3 linked regions of the Astyanax mexicanus genome follow. The protein of the gene in region 2 interacts with the protein of the main gene of each other region in a pairwise test. Links are inferred from orthologs where the notes say so. Each region holds a gene or a part of one and is shown on either strand. Other genes may lie near its edges.

Region 1 (8,011 bases), on a different chromosome or scaffold from region 2:
TGCTTTTCATTTTCAATAACAATAAAATGGTTGCAGTACGATTTGACTTCTTTTTAAACACTAATCAAAACATGTTTGCTAGCAATAACACTCAATTTAGTTGTATAGGATTTATTATACAATCATTTTACCACACTAAAGTGATTCAAATACATTTTTCCGTCCCTAAATGTGATTTCTTTAGATCTGTGTAGACATGTCAATTCCAATATATTCAAATCATATTGGAATCACCTTCATATGTTGTCCTAGATCAAATACATATCCAATTTGTGGGCTCTCTGAATGGCCAGATCCTGTTGTTTGTACAGGTCATTAGTTTGGGACCTGTGCCATGCAGAATTAAGTCCCTTCCAGAATCCAAGTCCACTTATTATTAAGAACATCACTTAAGGGAAGTCAGATTTTGGTGGGGATACAGAATTTGACACAACACCAGCAGTCTGGCTACCCGAAATCCAGTGTGCTTAAACTAATCAATGTATGCATCTGTGTTGTTTCAAGGACAAGTTCATTTACATTACAGATAAATACAATTACTTACATCTATGAACCTAAGCTGTGGAAATTGCTGAATTCAATCTCAACCAAAAATCGGAACTGATTACCGATTAAAATGACAAATCAGTCATGTACAGACAAATAAAAATAATAGAAATCTCTGTAGGAGGCTGGGGGATTTTGAAAACTTTAAAATGGTTCTGACTGAAAATCTGTGGCTCTGTGTTGAAAATGTCCAGTGATAACATTCACTTCCTGACTTCCTATTAAAATGATCCCTTAAAACCTTTAGGATGAAATTACATCACTTGAGAGGGACTCTCAGCAGGGACCGACTCTGTAAGTAACACTGTGGTAAACGAGAAACCACATGGATCTGAAAAAGCGCTGGCACAGCACAACCTTTTTCTCCTTTGTTTTTTTTTTTGTGTAAACAAAAAAGAAAAGATACTTTAGTGGCCCCTCAGCAAATCAAACCAGACTAAATGTTGTGTACATATTTGGCATACAGCTGGCAGGTTTGGACAATGGAAGCCCTGTCTGGAGCATATCTGCCTCACTAAAAGCTCAAAGTGGTCCAGAATGGCTCCCTTTCCAAGAAAGGATGCCTAACACAGGGAGCATTCAGCAGGGAGGTCGTGTTAGCTGCTGACCATGCTGTACGGCTGGAATGCCGAGCTTGCTCAGTGCAACCAGGCGCAATAATGCTCGAGCGGATCGTTCCCACAGTGACCGGGCCGACTGAGCACATCACTGTACTGTGCAGTGCTGTCTGGGATATTCCATCCTACTGCAGGAGATAAACATCATAGCACCTGGGGAACATAACAAATTATGCTCGACACAGAGGACATCACTGGACTCTGCTGTATGGTTAAATGCAGAGACAGCTGCAGCAAGTAACACAGTCCAACAGGTGCTGACATGGATGAAAAAGTGCTTGTAATTGGTTCACACATATGTGTGTATAATGCATAAAATCACAATGTGAGACAAGGCTCCATTATTATATCATCAACATTTTAGAGTCTGGTATACAGTATATGGACATGACCTCTATGATTTTTGCTGACATATAATGTTGCCTATCCTGTTTACTAAGCCTGAAAAGAACTTTTGTACAAACTATAACTTGTAAGAATGCGAGGAACCTATGTGTCAACTTATCAAAATAGTATTTGTTTATATTTATTTAGGATATTAAAGTATGTTTTATATTTCAATTCCAGTGTCTAAAAATTAAACATGCATTAATCTTTAAAATAGTGTAACTTTATTAGTAGGCTACTATATTATCATAATATCAGTGGCATAAAATGTTTAAAAGTAAAAAAAAATACAATCACATTCAACCTTTGTCCAAATATTTCATTCTGACTGGTACTTTCTTACGTATAAACATGTATATTTATATTATATTGATCCAGTGATTTGTTCTAGATTAGTATCACAGTAATATATATATACATATACAAATTGTATATATATATATATACACAAATATACATTCAACAGTTAAACCCTTAAACTGCATTTATCCATATTTGCAATGTCTTAAAATGACAATAATATTTAATGCAATTATTTTGGGGAAAATATCATCCAAAAATGAAATGTTATCACGACAGACCTATGTGAGACCAAATTTCATAATTCATAACTCTATTCAGCACCAGTAAACATTCACAAGCCTATTCTGACATACCCTGATGATGGCTTACCTTCATCTTGATGCAGCATAATCAAAAGCTAGTCCTTATAAAGGGAGGTTAGCTAACAAATTAATTAAGCTACCACTTCTAGTCAATAGACAAATGACTGGTCAGTACAGTAGTTACTGCTGTTATTTAAAGTTATTTAAAGCGTTTTACATCAGCTTAGTGAGATAATTAACACTGCATTTTGACATGCCAGTCAGAGTCAGTCTACTGCATAATCAGTAAGGCCTGTTTCAGTGAGCACTGCAGACTTTTAACACAACAGTGGCAGCTGTCGAAACCATCAAGTCAGTCATCCACAGCGTCTCAGTGCCAATTCATTAGGACACACCTATTAGCTAATTATCTCCTCCATTCTCTCCTCATAATATCAAGTCAATTGTTTACTTAGTTAGTTACGTTTTGCAAAAGTAATCCGCATCAAGTTACTTCATTTTAAGCAGCCCTCCTGCTGAACGCTATACCACAACAAGAGCTACAATGCAACAGATATTGCTGCACAACAAAGTTTTGGCTAGCCTCCACAGTCCAGTACCTCATTGAAGCCCTCCTGCAGCACGTCCAGCACATTTCCTCTGGATAAGGATGCGATCATTCTCCTGCCTTCTCATGGAGGCGAACAGCGAACACGTTATCCTCCTGATTCAGCGGGTCCGCTCTACACCCTCATCCCCGTAAACTCCGCAAACAAAGAAGCTACACAGTAAAGCCCCGAGGCCGGGCGATGGCCATATGTGCGACTGCAGCCACCGTTAGCTCCCCTACAGAAACAGGATACGCGGTGGACTGAGTTAGAGCTTCTGTACTGCGCATGCTCCACACGAGGCCACTCCGCGGTCGCTAGGCTACGGCCCCGCTTTACACTAGCAGGATTAACGCTAGTGCTGCAACTCTACAATAACAACGCTGTACAGCACTAAACTCCCGCCTGTTCATAAAATACTACTACTAATAATCTATATAGTATTAATTTAGCACGTAATAACTTGGAGTTATTTTGATATATTAAGTAAGTTTAAGATGCTCTAATTATTTTGAGATTTTAAGTCGCTATTTTGAGATGCTAAGTCACTATTTTGAGATGGTATCCCATTATGTTGAAATACTAAGTCGTTATTTTTTAGATATTAAGTCACTATTTTGAGATGCTAAGTTGTTATTTTGAGATACTTTCAAATTTTTTTGGAGATGCTATCGTCGTTATTGTGAGATGCTATCTTAGCATTTTGAGATGCTAAGTTGTTCTTATGAGATGCTCTTTTATTATTTTGAGATACTAAGTTGTTATTTTTAAATACTCTCAAATTTGTTTTAGATAATAAGTCGTAATATTGAGATGCTATCTCATTATCTTAAGATGCCAAATTGCTATTTTAAGATGCTAAGTCGTTATTTAAAATGGTATCTTATTATTTTGAAATATTAAGTTGTTATTTTGAGATGCTCTCTTATTTTTTTGAAATGCTAAGTCAGTATTTTAAGATGCTAAGTCATTATTTTGAGGTACGAAGTCGCTATATTGTTATTTTGAGTCGCTAAATTGTTATTTTAAGACGTTAAGTCATTATTTGAAGATGTTTTTTGTTTTTGAAAAAAATTCTATTTAGCAAATGCAAACTGTTAAAAAAGCTGTACACTGACTATTTTACAGTGTATTTAAGTGTTATATCCTCAAAAATGTCCCATGAAAATGTATAAAAAATATTTTTATGTAAGGGATGTACTCACTACACTACATCTCAGAATAATGACTAAGTATCTCAAAATAATAAGATACCATCTCAAAATAATGGCCTAGTATCTTAAAGTGATGATTTAGCATCTCAGAATAATGAGATAGCTATTTACTTAATAAAGAGACAGTACAGGCTGTTTTTTCTGTGGATTACAGCAGAAATCAGGATTCAGTCAACCCTGCTGTGTTTTTTGTGTTTTGGTAAACCTGTGTCCATTGAACTCCAAGCTTTCTGTTACTGGCTGACCTAAGGAGAACTTGATGCTGGTCTGCTGTTGCTGTTGCCCAGCCACCTTAGGGTTATCTGTGTTACCACAGCCTTTCTGTCAGTTTGAACCACTCTGTTTATCCACTGCTGATCTCTTTCATCAAGATAATTACATCTGCAAAAATACCACTTACTCAATGTTTTTCTGTATTGCACAATAAACTGTAGAAAGTTTAAGGAGATCAGTAACTATATTCTTATTTAAACCATGCCACAGTCAAAATCACAGAGATCATATTTTCATTAGAACATTGTCTAAAACTTCTGATCTGCATAATTTTATGCAACGAATGTAGAATTCACATTTGGGAAGTTTGTGCAAAGTGCTTAAGATCAAAATCAGATCAGTATTAGGCCTAATTCCTGCCCTTGATTTCTGCATGTAGTGTAAAATAGTCTCTATTTCATGTGACATACCTAGAACTAGAGCTACCTAGAGCTTCATAACAATAACCTTTAATAATTGCTGAGAGTGTAGATAAACTCGTAACATTTTTGTTACAATTTCAATTTCAATAACATTTATGGAGTTCCCTTGTTACAGTAGAGCAGGAAGCAGGAGGTCCTCAGTGTGAAAGGTAAAAAAAAAATCATGACCACTTAAACGTACCCTCTGTGTACACAACAGTAAAGATTAGTAAAGGGCATGCAGTTCTGTGCATGGCTGCTTTGTGTATGGCTCCACCAGACCACATCCTTCCTGTCAGGTTTAGAGCTTCCTGATTCAGCGTGTAGCCCGACTACACTGTATTATGCATTTCTGACCTAAATCAGGAGCACTAACAAATCAGCGATGTCAGCATATACTGGTAACTGTAACGTATCTAAAATTAAGTGTTTATCTGTAACATAAGATACAGTCATTAGGATTGCAACGATTGTCCCTGTAAATTAAACACACTGAGATTATATGCAGATGAGTTAGTCTCAAAGAGTCCTTTAATTGATGAAGAGAAGGTAAGGTTAGTTACTTACAGATCTCTCTACAGCCGAGGAGCGAGGCATATCACCAGCCTTCAAAATAGAGAGCACACATATCAGTTAAATAATAAAAGGTCACTTCTAAAAGGTCAGTTCTCTTATGGCATCCCACCATTCTATAGCTTTTGTTAAATAAGTAAAACTGAAGGAATATTTCATGTCTCTAAATATGTTTTACCTATTCTGACAGGGATAGATAACCTACTTATTGACTAGCTGATGGTATGTGGTGTGTAAGGGAGTAATCACAGTTAAAACTAGAGACAAAATAAACACTGCAGGTTCATGATAATGGACACTATATGTACAAACGTTTTACATAACTTTTTAACGGATGCATTCAGAAAACACTTGCATCCAGACAGTTGCACCCTTTACTGATACAGATGTGTAAATGCACACACACAGCTTGTCTAGTCCCTGTGAAGAAGTACTGCCAAAAGACTAGGACTCTATGGAGCAGGTAAAATAACACAAACCTATAGGTACCATGCATAATGCCTGTGGTTAGAGTCATATAAAGACTCCAGAATTAAGCTGTGGGGCAGTGAAGCAATGAAACTGTGTTCTTTGGATTGACGGTGCTCATCTACACAAATAGTTCTGGGATGAGCTGAGTGATCACCAAAACAACCTGTTGTCACAATTTTAACACTCTTGTTGCTGAATACAATCAGATCCTCACAGCAATTCTCCTAAATTTAGTAGAATGCCTTTAATGGACAGTAGATACATTTACTCCCACAAAACAACAGTGTAATGTTTATTGGTTTATATTTCTGACCATTTTTCTTTGTATATTTCTTTGAGGCTAAAATCGAAAACACAAGACTAGGTGTAAAATCTCATGATTTCATTTTGACATTTACTTTACAATTCTGCTTCTCAGAACCTAAAGTCCAGAGGGGAAAATATTTTTTGATTTTTAAAGAATATTGACTTTTTTACAGTATTGCCCAGCCCTTTTATACATTTAAAATACTGATGAAACCCCATGTTTTTTTTTTACTTAAACAAATGGACAAAAGTAAATAATGAAGACGTTTTACACCAAACAATCACTCAGGAAATTGAACTGTCGTTAAACTGACCCAGTTAAACTAGCTTAGTTAGTAGACCTATCTAGCAAACCAATTCGCTTAAAAATAAATGAACTAGTTTAGGACATTTAAGAGGTTTAACAGGTGCAACTAGGCTCTGAAACTAAAGCCGTTAAATCGTTAAATTATGCCAGCTGCATCCACTTTAGCTAACTAAGGCTAACAAAACAAAACGACGGGACTTTTGAGTTATTATAGACAGCTAGTTAGCTAGGATAGCTAATAACCCTAACGCTAACTAGCGTAAATCTTAAATAAGGTTAGCGGGTTAGCTTAACCAGCTTTGCTAGCTAACAACTAAACGTTAAAATAGTAATTTATCTAGTTGAGCCGCTTTAAAAGATAGTTAATCACCGTTATCAGTAGTTTAGTTAACTTACCGGGGGTTAATTCACTCTATGGAAGACAGCCAGTCTAATATAACAGAAAATTCCAGTTCAAGGAGCCGCAAAGTGCATTTTCCCTAAAAGTGAATCTCAGATCCTCCCTTTCTCTCTCAGCCCGTCTGTTTCCGTATCCATGACTACCAGAAACGGACCGGGGAGGGGGGGTTGGGGGTTTTGAGGGGGATGTGCTCCTATTTAAAACCAATGGAGTTAATTTTAAGTTTATATACACAGAATAATATATATATATATATATATATATATATATATATATATATATATATATATATATATTCTATATCTATGATAGGAGTAAAAGGGCCATCATGAGCCATACTATTAATAGAGGAGCATTATTATAATTTCATGTCTCACCATGTTCCAACACTTGAATGTCATTTATAATTAAATATATGGAGTTACACAAAAAATAAATCAGGAATAAAAAATTTAAGAATAATAAGGAAAAAAGTGTGTTGCAAATTCAAAGTAAAAAAAGAAAAAAAAAAAAAAAAAAAAATATATATATATATATATATATATATATATATATATATATATATATATATATATATATATATAGAGAGAGAGAGAGAGAGAGAGAGAGAGAGGGAGATACTTTAATTAATACTTTATTATTCCTTGCGCCTGCACTTATTTTTGTGTTTTTGGAGATGTCTATGGATTTCACTGCTAAAGTCTTTTGCTTCTGGAGTCTCTCGTTTGCTTTTGTCTTGTAGATTGCAGATTTTTATTTTTGTTTAAAACGTTTTGCCCAAAAATATCATTAACAATTTTACGTGGATTTTAACTGTGCCTGGACAAAATGATTGGCAAGACAGGGGCACTTCAGGGGGCCAATCAGATTTCAGCAGAGGCGATTGCCCCTTTGGCCCCGCCCCTGTAATGTAGAAAAGCATGGGCATGGGTGAGAGCCAGTCCAGGTGACGCTACCTCATAAAGCTGACTGAGAAAGTGCCAAGATGTGCAAAGCTAATCTAAAATATTAGATTAGAAGAGCTACTTTAAATAATCTAGAGTATATTAAAATAAGGGTTTTCTTCATAGTTTATTAGTCAATTAATAATCTACAATGCAGAACATAATTATAATAATTATATATAAAAAAAACATTATATGGTTGTAATGAAAAAAAAAACTGAATTTTGTTTGTGTTGTTTTTTACATACAGAAGGCCAAATGCCTTTCAATTCACAATGCAGTGATTTAAAATTGTTTCATAACAGATTGTATTAATATAAAAAAAAAATAGAAAGCTAAAATTGTATTAAGTAGTAAAATAACTTAATATTCTGACTTAC
Region 2 (6,970 bases):
AGTTACGGCAGAACAAATGGTTGACAAGCTATAGCTGGCCATGGCAGGAACATGTCTGAACACACAAACATGGTGTTGACTGTCAAAGGCAACCTGACTTTGGAGTAATGGAAGAATGGCCTGGTCTAATAAATCACATTTTCTTTTGCATCCTGTGCCTGATAGACAGGCACATATACATCAGTCACATTTACATCAGTCACATGAGAAAAAGATGGCAATATGATGCACACTGGAGAAGGCAAGCGGTAATCTGCTGGGAAACAGTAGCTAAATCCAGCAAATCCAGTCCAAGAACAGTACAAGGAACATCTCAATGTTCAAGGTGTTGACTTGAACTCTAATTACCCCACATCTCAATCAGACTGAGCATCTGTGTGACATGTTAGACAAACAATTCACATCTTACAGAAGCTCTTAACATTATGATGTCAGATATTAGGGGAGGGTTAAAAAAAATATATATTTTTCGAGTCAAAGCAATCTTCAGTTAAATGACTCGATATTGATTCACATAAACTCGAATTCAGTCTTTTAAAATCTTTTTATTTCCCCCATGTGTTTTTGTGTAAATCTTTAACACTCTTATTCTTTGATCTTATGTGATCAAACAGTCTTTTTACTGCACATCAAGTACTAAGAAGCTCAAGTACTAACTAATATTTTTAAGGTTGAGTGTTCCTTTTACATTTGCTACACTAGCTCACTGAAAATCTCTTTTTATATATAAACAAAACCTGTTATTGTAACGGTAATATCCCTAAACAAATTGATACTGAACTGGATTAAATCAAATAAACTAAATTGAAGCGATTTGATTCTGGAAATCTGTGGTGATACCCAGCCCTACCAGACCAGACCGTCACTGGACACATTCAGAAGTGTTGAACTCAGACATCAATAGTTCAGAACTGGTTTTGGCATCATTAAGAGCACCCACAAGTAATTTAAAATGTTAGTACTAATCAGTATATTTAAAAAAAGCCTTCAGCAGAACAACAAACAGAACACTCAGCACTGAGAGAGAACAAGAACAGATTTACCATCTAGCTTTACACTGTTTAGCTGACTTTCTATGCAGCAAAGAGGCAATCCGGGACCATTGATTTTTGCCATATTTCATTACAGCTGCTTTAAGGATCTCATCCTACAGAAAGATAACAGGGGAAAAAGAACAGATTGTTAAGTTCACAAATATTTTACAATGACTGGATACATTTTCTGGAATTAGTACTAATAAATCTTTTTAAGGAGTGGCTGTATTGTGTTTAGATTTGTCAGCTAGTTTGACAAACTTGATGCTTACCTAAATAACTTACTAACTACATTTACATTAAAGGCATTTAGCAGACGCCCTTATCCAGAGTGACTTACAACAGTGCTTCGCAAATAAATCAGAACATGATGGCTTCAGGAAGCTCCCTATGATTTCCTCTGTGTTCACTATTCAGCAGTTGCTAGATAGACTAAGGCACTCAAAAATTGGATATTATTTACTTTCCCTCAAGTTGTAAAAAAATGGGAGAGTACTGTTTAAATTTCATTTACGTTTTGCAAGCATCACCTGTTTGATTCCACACTCATTTATCACTTTGGAGTTTTGTATTTAGAGACTATAGTCTTTCTGTTTCTCTGCACACATTATTATTATTATTATCCTCCTTTTAAACAGTTTCCTCTTCAATGGTCAGGTATTAGTGTGTTGTGTTGGTATGAGCAGATCAGTCACAGCAGTGCTGCTGAAGTCTTTAAGCACTGTATGTGGACTTTTCTCAAAATCTCAGACTAGGGCTGCAACTAATGATTTAATCATCAGACTAGTCGATTAGTCAACGATTATTTCTGCCATGTCCTCCACCTCTAAAATTGATAGAAAAAGTTGAACATAAGATTTGATTTTGGTCACTTTTAGAGACTAAGTTGAGTGTAAACTATTTGAGTGAACCATTTACTCATCTTCCATTGCACTTATGTCCTCTGCACTTTGTGTAATGCGGTACTGTTGCAAATTAACAATTAAGTTAGTCGACAATGAAATGTGTAGTCGACGATTTTAAATAATCGACATTGCCGATTATGTCGACTAATCGATGCAGCCCTAAGACACTGAGATGATGAACCCGGTGGTATTTAAACACTTCAGTAGCACTGGCTTATCATAAATACACAAAAAATCAGTTGGTGGTCAGAATGTGTTGCTACTAAGACCTACAAAGGCCTCGATCACACTAACTAGTTTGCTGATTAGTCTAACGTTACTTAACGCCAGATCAGTGCAGTGTATTGTAGTTTGGTGTTTATCTGCACACGAGGACTAATTTTGGCTTTAAACAAGGCGAGTTAGAGCAGAAAAAACAAGCTGTGCAGTTTCAGGACTGAGGGCAAAAATGTAATGTTAACAGATAGATCAACAGTTAATATAACGTTAGGTTTTAACTCAGTCCAGAGGTGCTCAACCTGCACCCACACAAACACTGCTGCCACACAGCTAGCGTTAGCTACTTAACAAGTCCAGCTAACTAACCTAGCTAGCTAGCATGCTACCTGTATCTGTAAACTAGCTAGCTAGCTAACGAATACATGTTGCCCGTGTATTTGTGTGTCAGAAACACTGACTAATACTGTTTAAACCAATAAAATATAGTTATATGTACGACACAGCTAACGCTGTAGTAACTTAAACACGCTAACTTCACACTTCACAGCTAAAGCAGGGCTGCTAGCCTAGCATAGCCGAGCTCCGTTAGCTTAGCCTGTCAGCACCACACTGCTAACCCAGCGCTCACCTCAGTGTTCCTCCAAACGCCTCCTTTAATCATAATTCGCGGCATCTTGGCAGCTTATTCTTCACACCCGCACCCTGAACTATAAACAGCGCTGTATTAACAGCGATACAGGAGCTCCAGGAGACCCGGGGTAACTGCGGTGCGTCTCAGAAAGCAGAGCAGCAGCTAAAACACGGCCCCGCTAACGCAGCGCTGGCCCACAGCAAATGGCTTCTGTTCACTGGGTTGCCAGATTCGTGCTATTGACGTTAAAATCCCTATAATCCATCCAAGGGGGTATTCAATGTGAAGTTTTTGATTTAAAAAAGACAGACTTACCTCACACTAACTCACTAACTAAACAATATATAGAATACAATACATATTATATTCATAATATTATACTAATATTTTTTAAACAAGTAGAGGGAATTTAAAGTGTAGTTAAACGTGACACTTTTAATTACTTTAAATTATTAATACATAAAAAATAATATATTTGCACTCAATTAAATGACATATTGTTACATAAATAATATAACTTTAAATAAGGCTAAGTGCAGAGGCTTTTCCATATCCCTCAATTCAAATTCAAATTAAATGTGAAGGTTTTTTTTATGAGAGCAAAACTTACTCGCTAACTCACTCATATATATATATATATAATATACTATTTATATATATATAAATAATAAACTATATATAATAAACTATTTTACATAATATATATAATAGGTATATTTAATTACACACAAATAAAAGAGAAATTGTTACACAAATATAAATAATATGTATTTCAGTGTAACTTCAGATAAGCCTGAAAGTGATTGTCTAAGTATTAGGGGGTACATTTAGTAGCTGAAGTTTTAACTTGGCAAAACAACATTTAATGTTATATCATACAGCACTATATGTACACTTTTCCTGGCATAATGCACATTTTTGGTACAATTTAAAAATACAGCAAAATTTAAAGCCCCGAATATAGCAAAAATCTAATTACATTAATATTAAACATATTAAAATAGGATTAAATATGCATGATTTCAACAACAAATGTACGTTTACAATAAGTTTTTTTCTCAACATGGCAACCCTGTTTCTGTCTAGTTCCTATAAGTTTGTAAGTTTGTGAATGGCGTGCTGGAGCTCTGTACTGCCACCTAGTGAATGGAGTCTCCCACAGTTCTGACTGGCTATTTGAGCTGCTGATGCTGCTGAGCTAACTCAGTGTTTATCAGTCCCTGTCCTGGAGACACCCTGTCCCTGCTTTAACACACTTACTGCAAGTCTGATTAGAGTAACTGGTTTGTTGAATGCAATGCAAGTGCAAAAGCTTTCTTTTGTAATCAGGCATTTAAAAACCAAAGAGCTGGTGGTGGACTTCTGCAGGACCAAACACTCTCCTCCGGTGCCTGTGAACATCCAGGGCTCGGATATTGAGATAGTGAGGTCCTACAAGTACCTAGGTGTCCACCTTAACAACAAGCTGGACTGACAACACGGCTGCTCTCTACAGGAAAGGTCAGAGGCCTTCTTTGATGCCGTGGTGGCATCAGCCATCTTTTATGGAGTGGTCTGCTGGGGCAGCAGCATCTCCACCGCTGACAAGAAGAGACTGGACAGAATCATCAGGAAGTCCAGCTCTGTCCTGGGGTGTCCTCTGGACCCAGTGGAGGTGGTGGGAGACAGGAGGATGAGGACTAAGCTTAACAACATGCTGAAGAACCTGTCCCATCCCATGCACCACTCTCTGACAGCACTGAGCAGCTCCTTCAGTACCCGGCTGCTGCACCCACGCTGTGTGAAGGAGAGATACTGCAGGTCCTTCCTTCCACACGCCATCAGACTATACAACACACCACGCTCCCAGGACTTCATACAACCTACATACTACTCAGTGTAGCTGTAATGCTTACCGTGTGCAATATCCATCTCACTACGAGTACTGTGATCACCATTTGTGCAATTTATTTAATGTGCAATATTTTTTTCTCACTTTTGTTTTTATCTATTATTTATTTGATATTTATTCACTGTTACTCTTGTGCAATAATACTGGTCCACCCTACCATAATCATATCTCTATGCACTAGATGTATATATATTTTTTCTTTTACTATATATAATTTTTTTAACTATCTTTATATATTTTCCTGCAATAGTTTTTTTGTATATATAGATTTATCATTATTTGTATTTACCTTTTCCTGACCTGTTTCTCTGTCCTTTACTCTGCACTGCTGTAACATGGTAAATTTCCCCATTGTGGGATTAATAAAGGATTATCTTATCTTATCTTATCTTATCTTATCTTATGGCCACTTATGGGGGATTATCAGCAGTTTTGATCTGTTTATTATTTTCTCACTGTTCATCTTTAACATATTCCACTGTAACTGATTTACAGTCTCCTAAACACAAGTTTCAACACACCTTTCATAGATGCACAAAAAATGCACATTGAAACCTTTATCAATGTGAACACAGATGTTCACACGATTAAATTCAACATTTCTGATGAAAATACAAATAACTCCCCTATATATGAATGTGTTTTAAACGTTATTAGCGAGTCAGCATATGAAAAACCTCTTTGCTTCTGTGGGAAAAGCTGCTTGAGAAAATGCCAAGAGCTGTATGAAAACATGATGGCTTCAGGCAGCTTATCCAGCAGTGCACTGCCTCTGTATTCCTCTGTGTTCACCATCCAGCAGCTGCTAGTTGAACTAAGACACTCAAAGTGGATCTTGTTTAGTGTTCTTCACATTGCACAAAACATGGGAGAGTACTGTTTCCAAGTTAAAAACGTATGAAAACAGTTTATATCAGCAGTGTTTCTTATAAAATACTTCATACACCTGTCAAGCACAACATTCAAATATGATTACCTGTTTGTTTCTACACTTTATAGGTCTTTATTTACAGATTTTAGTTTTGTATTTGTTTCATTACATACTTTATGATCCTCTTTTCACCCTGTTTTTCAATGGTTAGGATCCCAAAGGAGAGACAACCACAGAGCAGGTGTGTTTGAGTAGTGTGTGTTTTAATACTATGAATGAATCATACACAGCAGTGCTGCTGGAGTTTTTAAACACCCTGCCTACAGGGCAGTCGGTGGACTATTCTCAGTTCTTAGACACTAAGGTAATCAAGATTATATCTGGATAAGGCCATACCACAAAAAGGCAACAACAATTAGAATATGATGTGATTCAATCAAAATTCATTTGACTATCAAGTGGAAATGCATGTGGTTAAAAATGATCTGATCAAGATACAGTGCAGATACAACCCCAAACCGTTATCATGTCACATGTTTTCAGAACTTTCTTGGAACTTTGTTTCTGTAACATTACAGGCTAACCTTCCTGAAAACTTTTTAAAATGTTGTTTAAAATGTTCTTAGAAAGTTTACTGTTAGCTGGGAAGTCACTTGACAAGGGTTCTAATAACATTCTAATAACATTATGATGCAAACCACTATAATGTCACATGTTTTTAGAACATTCCTGAAACATTATTTCTTTAACATTACAGGTTATCCTTCCTTGAACCATTTTAAAATGTTGTTAAAGGTTCTTAGAAAGTTCTCTGTTAGCTGGGAAGTAATTTGACCTGGTGTAAACAGGGTCTACAAGATTGATGTGTGCTTTAGAAGAACCCAAAACTCAGGTTTGGTTTCTGACTTCTGTGTGAACTTTAGTGACTGTATTGATTGTTTCAGTCCCACCAGCAACTCTTCTGATTTACTTTAATGAAGGATTGATTAAATAAACTAGGTACTGGACGGTAACTGTAAACACTGGAGTTCCTCAAGGAGAGCTTTGAAAATCGTTAAGTACACACACACACCCACACACCCACACACATACGCCCTAACACACTCATCAATACATATATCTTCTCTCTTATAAACAGCTTTAAACAAACTTTTCACCGACGAGTAAACTCAAATGTGCATCAGAGGATCTTACTAAATCTCTAGATAGTTCTATAGTGAACCAGTGAGAATGGCTAAGGGAGGGTGTATCTGCATTGTGAAAGCCCACCTGCCAGGGCCAGAACACAGATGCCAGGGCGAATTGGCGGAGGACAGACCTGCAGAGGAGCTTCAGCTTTAGGCAGTGTCCGGGTCACCATCACAGCTGGCAGCTGGGCGAGGGGACAACAGGAGCCCATTGGCTGGAATACAATTTGAA
Region 3 (7,739 bases), on a different chromosome or scaffold from region 2:
GCGGACTTTAAATATAATGTGCCGCGTCGTCCGGCTTACTGTACGTTCACACCGAACGCGATAAAATCGCTCTGTGTCGCCTGTGCAACAGGCGATGAGTCGCTTGTGGACGTGTCTCACTCAGAACGAGCTGTCGCTGGTGGGCGTTTTCCTAATACGGCACGTACAGAAACAAGGGTTCAGCCAATCTACACAATTCCTAAACCATAAACAGTCGTACAGACGTTTCACAAACAATAAATCTTTATATATTTTATAACTATTATTAAGTACAATTATTTAACATAATTATTTCATATTACAATAAATGGGTTTACTTAAATATAATAAATTATTTTCCTTAATGTAGTAAATCATTCTCTTACAATATATTATATAATATAAATATATTTGTCCATAATTTAAAATATTGTTAACTTAATGTAATAAATAATTCCTTGGATGTAATTAATATGTTTACTTAAATATATTAAATAATCCTCTTGATTTAATAAACAGTCTTTCTCTTAATTTAATAAATAATTCCCTCAGTTTTAATAAATCTTTCTGTAAAATGTAATAAATAATTCTCTCAGTTTTAACTAAATCGTTCCAAATTCCATACCTCAGTTTGAATAAATCGTTACGTTAAATGTATTAAATACTTTCTTCAGTTGTAATAAATCGTTATGTTAACTTTAATAAATAATTCCCTTTGTTTCAATAAAAGGTTCTGTTAATTTAAAAAAAATATTCTTTAGTTGTCATAAATCTGTTAATTTAATAAATAATTTCCTCAGTTTTAATATATAGTTTTCTAAAAAAAGGTAATTCTGTAAGGATAGTACTATAGTGGGGTAGCTGCTGGTGTAGTGGAGTATTTTACCTCAGATCAGCTCAGTTCAGTTCTGTTCTCTCCGTTTTGCTGGCGGAATAAATCTTCAGTAGGAACCGAAAATCAGAGCAGCGATTTCAGGCCGAAATTCCTCTTGTTGAGAAACGCCTGCTCAGCTGCTCACGGAGCGGATGGCGCAAGGACAGCGGCGCCGACTCGCGGAACGGACGGCGCGATGATGGCGGCGCAAGCCTCCGGGATGGCGGGCTTCACGGCTCAACCCCGCCTTACCCTCTCCGACGGCAGCGCTGACTGAACAGCCTTCGAAGCTCAGCTTGAGATCGTGGCGGGCGGTGCGGGCTGGACGGACGCCGAGACGGCAGCCAACCTCTGCCTGGCGCTGCGGGGCGACGTGCTGAGGGTACTGATCGAGCTCCCCGCCGAGTGCCGCTGCGAGCTGCCCGAACTGACGCGGGCGCTGAGAACACGTTTCAGCCGCCAACCGTCAGAGGCGGCCGCCAAAATGCTAGTGGCGGACAGACGCCGACAGCAGGGAGAGACACTGGGCGTGCTGGCATCGGAGATGGCCCTGCTAACCCGCCAAACTTACCCAACGTTTCCGCGAGCGGCCCAGAGGAGGCTCGCGTTGGATCACTTTCTGCGCGCCCTCGAGCCGAGCGAGCTGCGCAAACACGTGAGGCTGGCCGACCCGCAGACCCTGGAGTCCGCGGTGGAGGTGGCGGAGCGGTCCGAACTCATCCTCTCAAGCCATCCTGGACCGTGGGGGGCGTCGCCGGTTGCCCGTGATTCGCAGAGGTGGGGTCGGAGCCAGTCTGATGCCCAACTGGAGTGCTGGCGCTGCGGGGGGCGTGGCCACACGCCCAGCCCATCAGGCTGAGGCCGCACCGTCTGGCGTTAGCAAAGCGCGTAGCGGCGGAGCAGTTAGTCCGCGAGATGGCGAGTACGGGCATTATTGAGCCTTCGAGCAGCCCGTGGTCGTCCCCGGTGGTCCTTGCGAAAAAGAAGGATGGAAATTGGCGCTTTTGCGTGGATTATCGGCGACTTAACGCTGTCACGAAGCTTGACTCCTACCCGCTCCCCAGGATCGACGATACGCTGGACCAGCTGTCTGGCTCAGCCTGGTTCAGCTCGTTAGACCTGAGGAGTGGATATTGGCAGGTGCCCCTCGCGGCGGGGGATAGGGAGAAAACCGCTTTCTCGCTCGGCTCAGCCCTATGGCATTTCACGGTGCTTCCATTCGGATTGTGTAACTCGCCGGCTACTTTTGAGCGTCTTATGGAGCGTGTTTTATGTGGGGTTCCGCGGTCGTGCTGCGTCGTTTATTTGGATGATGTCTTGGCGCACGGAACCGACTTTGTCCGACGGCGTGCTGTGCCATACCTGGGAGGATCCGGCGAACGGGCGGCGCGTTTTTCAGGTGGTGGTACCACGGGCGCTTAGGGGATCGGTCCTACGGGGAGTTCATGGGTCACCTGGGGCTGGGCACTTTGGTGTCACCAAGACTCTGAAGCGCCTGAGGCAACGCTTCTATTGGCCTGGGTGTAGAACCGACGTGGAACTCTTCGTGCACTGCTGTGACGTGTGCGCTGCCAAGAAGGGCCCCTCGAGGGCGCCCCGCGCCCCACTTCACCCTTACCAGTGCGGCAGCCCGATGGAGCGGGTGGCCGTGGACGTGCTGGGCCCCTTTCCGGTGACGGACTCTGGAAATCGCTTTGTTCTGGTGGTGATGGACTATTTCACGTAGTGGTCAGAGGCCTACGCGGTGCCGGACCAAGGGGCGGTCACTACTGCGGATATCCTGGTGCGGGAGTTCTTTTGCAGATTCGGGGTTCCGGAAGAACTGCACAGCGACCAGGGGAGAAATTTCGAGTCGGAGGTCATGGCGGAGGTCTGCCGCATCCTGGGAATCCATAAGACCAGGACGACGCCCCTTCATCTGCAGAGTGACGGACTGGTGGAACGTTTTAACCGCACGCTGGCGGCGCAGTTGGCCATGGTGTCGGACAAGAACCAGCGTGACTAGGACAGGCACCTGCCGGTAGTGCTGCTGGCCTGTCGCTCCGCTGTGCAGGAGATGACGGGATTCACGCCGGCTCTGCTTATGTTCGGGCGCGAACTGAGGACGCCGGTCTCCCTGGCTTTTGGGGCGCCTCCTGACGGGGGCGGGTACGCTTCGGACACGCCCACTTTTGTCTCGGACCTTATGTCTTCGCTGGAATTAGCAAACCGTCTAGCGCGCTCCAACCAGTCTGCTGCCGGACAGAAGCAGAAGCGTGTGTACGACACGCGCTGCTTTGGGGACCCGTTGGCGGTGGGGGCGAGGGTTTGGCTATATAACCCTCAGCGGAAGAAGGGACTGTGCCCGAAGCTCCAGTCGGCCTGGGTGGGTCCATGCTTGGTGCTGTCCAGGCTGGGGGAGTTGGTGTATAAGATCCGGTGGGGCAGACGCACTATGATTGTGCACCGTGATAGGCTGGCCCCCTATAGGCCGAGACTGTCGGACACTGTGGATGGTGGTGCGGAACCTGCCGGCCTTGCACTCGTGCCTGACCTGAACTCTGGCTCTTCGGAGCCGCTGGCAGGCGGTGCCGTGCCCGGCCCCTCCAGGCCGCCGCGGGCACGGAGGCCGCCCGCCCGCCTTAATGACTTTGTTTGCGACTGATTGTAAAAAAATAAAAATAAAAAATAAAAAAATGTTCTGTTGTACGCGGGGTTTGTGTTGGGTTGGTGGGGTCGCCGGGACGGCTGACCCTTGGGAGGGGGGCTATGTGGCGGCTCTGGGTTGTGTGTGTGGCTGCCTGCAGGCATGTTCTGTTCTCCTGTGTGTGAGGATGACAGGGGTGGGGCATCTCCCTTGGGAGGGGTTATGCAGAGAGGGTGGGCACCACTCTGGATCTGCCATCTGGGAGACACACAGCTGTGTTGGTGGCCTTTGGGCTGTTTGAGCTCTGTGGGTATGGTTTTAGCTCTCCTAGTCTTGTTAAAGACTGTAAGTGAGTGGCAAGCCAGTTCAATAAAGGAGCTGTTGAGCATTCAGCATGAGTCTCACGGGTCTTCCTTCCTCTTCCACGCCACAATACAAAGGTAAAAATAAACAAATAAATGAAGAAATGTGAGATTAAATAAATACACATATAAATAAATGTGGAAGTAAATAATTAAATAAATAAATAAATGCAGAAACAGCCCCAAATAAATGTTCATGCATGGGAATATGAAAATAGATCCCTGATATAATTTAAAGTGTGTACTTTTTATGACAAAACGTATTTAGTAATTTATCTACACAAAAAATTATGCGTGCATTTATTTTATCCTTTCTCCCTCAGCTCTGTTTGTTTATATACAGCGTTCATTCGGACATTGCAGTGTTTTTGTGCGGTGTTCTGTCGAATTGTGCTACGTGTCGAAATGTGCTTCTTAACACCAGTGCGCATGCGCGGAAATTTTATGTGAGCACCAAATTTATGTGAGCAACAAAACCTCTGATTAACCATTAAATGGATCCTGATATAACTATTGATTTAGGCGTTTCAAATCCTACCGAGAGTATTTACAATTCTTACGTTTAAATATACACTGGGGTAGCACTGTTTGAGAGGGTAGCACAACTCGACCTAAAAGCGAAATGTCCTGCACATTTGGTTGTACTATATTCTCCTATAGTTCTCTGAGCTAAAAAATGTCGTTTTGTCAGGAAAAATAAATAGTAAAAAGATAATTCAACAGAAAGAAAGTCACTCACCCAAAAGAGCAAAGAAATGTACACAATCTGAGTAAATTAATCCAAACTAACCAGTTCAAAACCACTTTAGCGCTGGGCGTCCTGTTGTCATGGCAACCATGCGTCATGACGTATGCACGTTTCCGTCTTACGTTGGACGTCCGTTTTGTAGACGAACGTAATGGCGGAAGCCCTGGCCATGGTGGAAGAGTGTTAGCCAGTTAGCTGAAGCTCTCTGTGTTTATATATTTACAGCCTGGTCTTCTCTCAGAGTTCTTGTAGTTTTGTGGTGTCAGGTATTCTGCAGATATGGCGTCCACCGCTGCTGGGAAACAGAGAATACCCAAAGTGGCCAAGGTGAGTTTTAGTGTCTGTTAGTAGTAAACCTGCTGGTTAGCTAAATAAGCTAGGATAAGCTAACGTTGCTAACGGACGTGTACCAATTGGAGGGTCTGCGCACTGCACACTCGCACACTAACTAGAAAACAAAAGTGGGAAAGGACCAGTTGTAAGCTGGTAGTTAACGTTAGCTGGCTATTTCACCGGAGCTAAATATGCTAAACACTCTCGTACACACATACCGTTAAGTAGCTTGGGAACAACGACGTGAGCTGAACTGAAATAAGCTAGATTAAGTCAGTTGTTTAACGTACTAGCCGCTGAAGTGCAGCGAAACATTCTTCTTCACTTCTACACACTTGATAAGTATCCTACTTAGAACTCAAATAGGCGAATTGGAGCACAGCCCTAAGTTTGCCGTTGAGTGTGGTCTGTAGTTAGCTAAGCTAGCTAGCTAATCAAATTGTCACAATAACACAATAACTTTAAGCTCTTATTTGAGCCATTATCATAAGTTTATCATTAGTATGTATTCATTGTCCAGCAAATCTATCTTTCACTGGCTGCAGAATGTAGCAGCTAGTTAGGTTTTGGAGTATGTTTTCCCCAGACTCGAAACTAGCTTGCTTCTGTATAAATGAAGATAGGAATTGAACCTCCAGTAATAGGAGCCCCACCATGTGTTGATATCTACCTGGAACAAATAAGTATTAAACTTTTAACACTAGAGTATAAAACTATAGAAAAAAACATATACTGCAAGTAGAGCTTCACAATATATCGACATTTTAGTGTATCGTGAATAAGTGTTCGTATCGTATGGAAAATCTGAGTTTCTGCATGCGTAGATTAAATAATACATAATAATATAAATACATTTTTTATTTTATAGGTAATTTCAGATAAGGCATACATAGATAAATATTTTTGGCATGACAAACTGCAAGGTACAACACTGTACCGCTGGTGGAATCTAACTGTATAATAGTGTGTAGTTAAAAATAGTAGTTAATGAATTAAGTTACACACATACAGCGCTTTTTCAGACACCAACGAAACACTTCATGTTTTGAACTGGAAACTCCATCCAGATAGGGCCTTAATTCCAAAACCCCAGTGCTGGGAGATGAACATGGTAACCACTAAGCCAAAGTGCAGATGAAATAATAGTGATGGCATATCTGTATGGACACCATTCAAAGTGAGAAAAAATGTTTTTGATAAGTAATTGTAATTGTGGTTGTGTAGCTTATCTACTCTAAAATATAATGCAGAGTGTTTTATCCTGTTCAGTTTTTGAGTATGGCATTTTACCTGACTATATAAAGTAGTGTGTTTTAAATTTAAACTCATAAAAAAATATATATATAGTACAATATTCAATTTTGTCGTTTTTAATAGATAAATAATTAATAAATGGGATATTATGTGTTAAGTTTTAGCAGTATGTCATAACATTGGTGGCTTAATTAACCATTTTTTTGCTCCCACAGGTGAAAAATAAAGCCCCAGCAGAGGTGCAGATAACTGCTGAGCAGCTTCTGAGAGAAGCCAAGGAGAGAGAACTCGAGCTTCTTCCTCCACCACCCAAACAGAAGATCACTGATGAAGAAGAGTTAAATGACTACAAGTTACGAAAACGCAAGGTAAGAGAACGTGCTTCATGTTAAAATCTAACAATCTGTTTTAACAAAGTCATTGATTTTACCTTCCTGTTTAAACCATCACCAATATTCTTATCACCTCAAAAGGGATTTGAAGACCATATCAGAAAGAACAGGACTGTCATAAGCAACTGGATAAAGTACGCACAATGGGAGGAGAGTCTGAAAGAAATCCAGAGGTATTATCATTAATCATTCTGTTAGACTCATATTTAAATGCATGTTTTTTATGTTCAAGAACATGAAAATAAACCTTTTGTTTCTGTCATTCATGTTTAAAGAGCTCGCTCTATTTACGAGCGAGCGCTGGATGTAGATCACCGCAATGTCACACTGTGGCTGAAGTATGCCGAAATGGAGATGAAGAGTCGCCAGGTCAACCATGCTCGCAACATCTGGGACCGAGCCATAACCATCCTGCCAAGAGTCAACCAGTTCTGGTAATAACACTTCTGTTGTCCAATTTTTTGACAGAGAAACATTTGCTACAGGAAGACTGAAAACATTTATTCTAAACTGGCTTCAATTTACATGTAGTGAGCTTTGGTGTGAATGAATTTACAGGTACAAATACAGCTACATGGAGGAGATGCTGGGGAACGTAGCCGGCTGCAGGCAGGTGTTTGAACGCTGGATGGAGTGGGAGCCAGAAGAACAGGCCTGGCACTCGTACATCAACTTCGAGCTGCGCTACAAGGAGGTGGACAAAGCCCGCACCATCTACGAGAGATATATCCTTTTATATATTTTAGCTTTTAGATATTTTATTGTAGCATGGTGTGCAATAGTTGCCTGATCTTTAATGAGTTTTGCAGTTTGCTGAGTTATGTGATTGCATTGATCACCCAATGTTGGCTATAGTAAAATTACAGAATAAGTTATGGTATTTTTGTTTTTCAAATTGTTTTGGTCATTATTTATCATTAATTAAAAAAAAGTAAAGAATGATGTGTAATGAAGAACAGGATAAAATTCACTTTATTTTTTTTTTTAATTTGCAGTAAGGTTTAGAGGTTTATTTTTCAAACCTTTATTTTTTATTTATTTATTTTTTAAATTTGAAATTAAATGAAATGAAATCATCTGTGTTACACTATGTACCATTTGGCTACAGCTACATTCTTGTTATTATGTTCTTTTACTCTGTTTTTCACTAGTATTCCGTTTAATTTAACTT

What was found.
Region 1: the proteins of cdc5l (region 2) and dixdc1b interact in a two-hybrid assay, tested with the Homo sapiens proteins (2 studies listed by BioGRID and IntAct). The link is inferred for Astyanax mexicanus from reciprocal best matches to the Homo sapiens genes CDC5L and DIXDC1.
Region 3: the proteins of cdc5l (region 2) and crnkl1 interact in a two-hybrid assay, tested with the Homo sapiens proteins (2 studies listed by IntAct). The link is inferred for Astyanax mexicanus from reciprocal best matches to the Homo sapiens genes CDC5L and CRNKL1.

The regions. Positions count from the first base shown.
Region 1 is NC_064424.1:9,367,921-9,375,931, reverse strand, and holds the start of dixdc1b (dixin), read right to left. Parts: upstream 3,005-8,011; 5' UTR 2,815-3,004; coding exon 2,755-2,814; intron 1-2,754. UniProt on the Homo sapiens protein: Positive effector of the Wnt signaling pathway; activates WNT3A signaling via DVL2. Regulates JNK activation by AXIN1 and DVL2.
Region 2 is NC_064421.1:16,939,454-16,946,423, reverse strand, and holds the start of cdc5l (cell division cycle 5-like protein), read right to left. Parts: upstream 3,001-6,970; 5' UTR 2,832-3,000; coding exon 2,787-2,831; intron 1,148-2,786; coding exon 1,044-1,147; intron 1-1,043.
Region 3 is NC_064408.1:84,184,908-84,192,646, forward strand, and holds the start of crnkl1 (crooked neck-like protein 1), read left to right. Parts: upstream 1-4,735; 5' UTR 4,736-4,868; coding exon 4,869-4,916; intron 4,917-6,391; coding exon 6,392-6,544; intron 6,545-6,649; coding exon 6,650-6,741; intron 6,742-6,843; coding exon 6,844-7,002; intron 7,003-7,126; coding exon 7,127-7,293; intron 7,294-7,739. UniProt on the Homo sapiens protein: Involved in pre-mRNA splicing process. As a component of the minor spliceosome, involved in the splicing of U12-type introns in pre-mRNAs.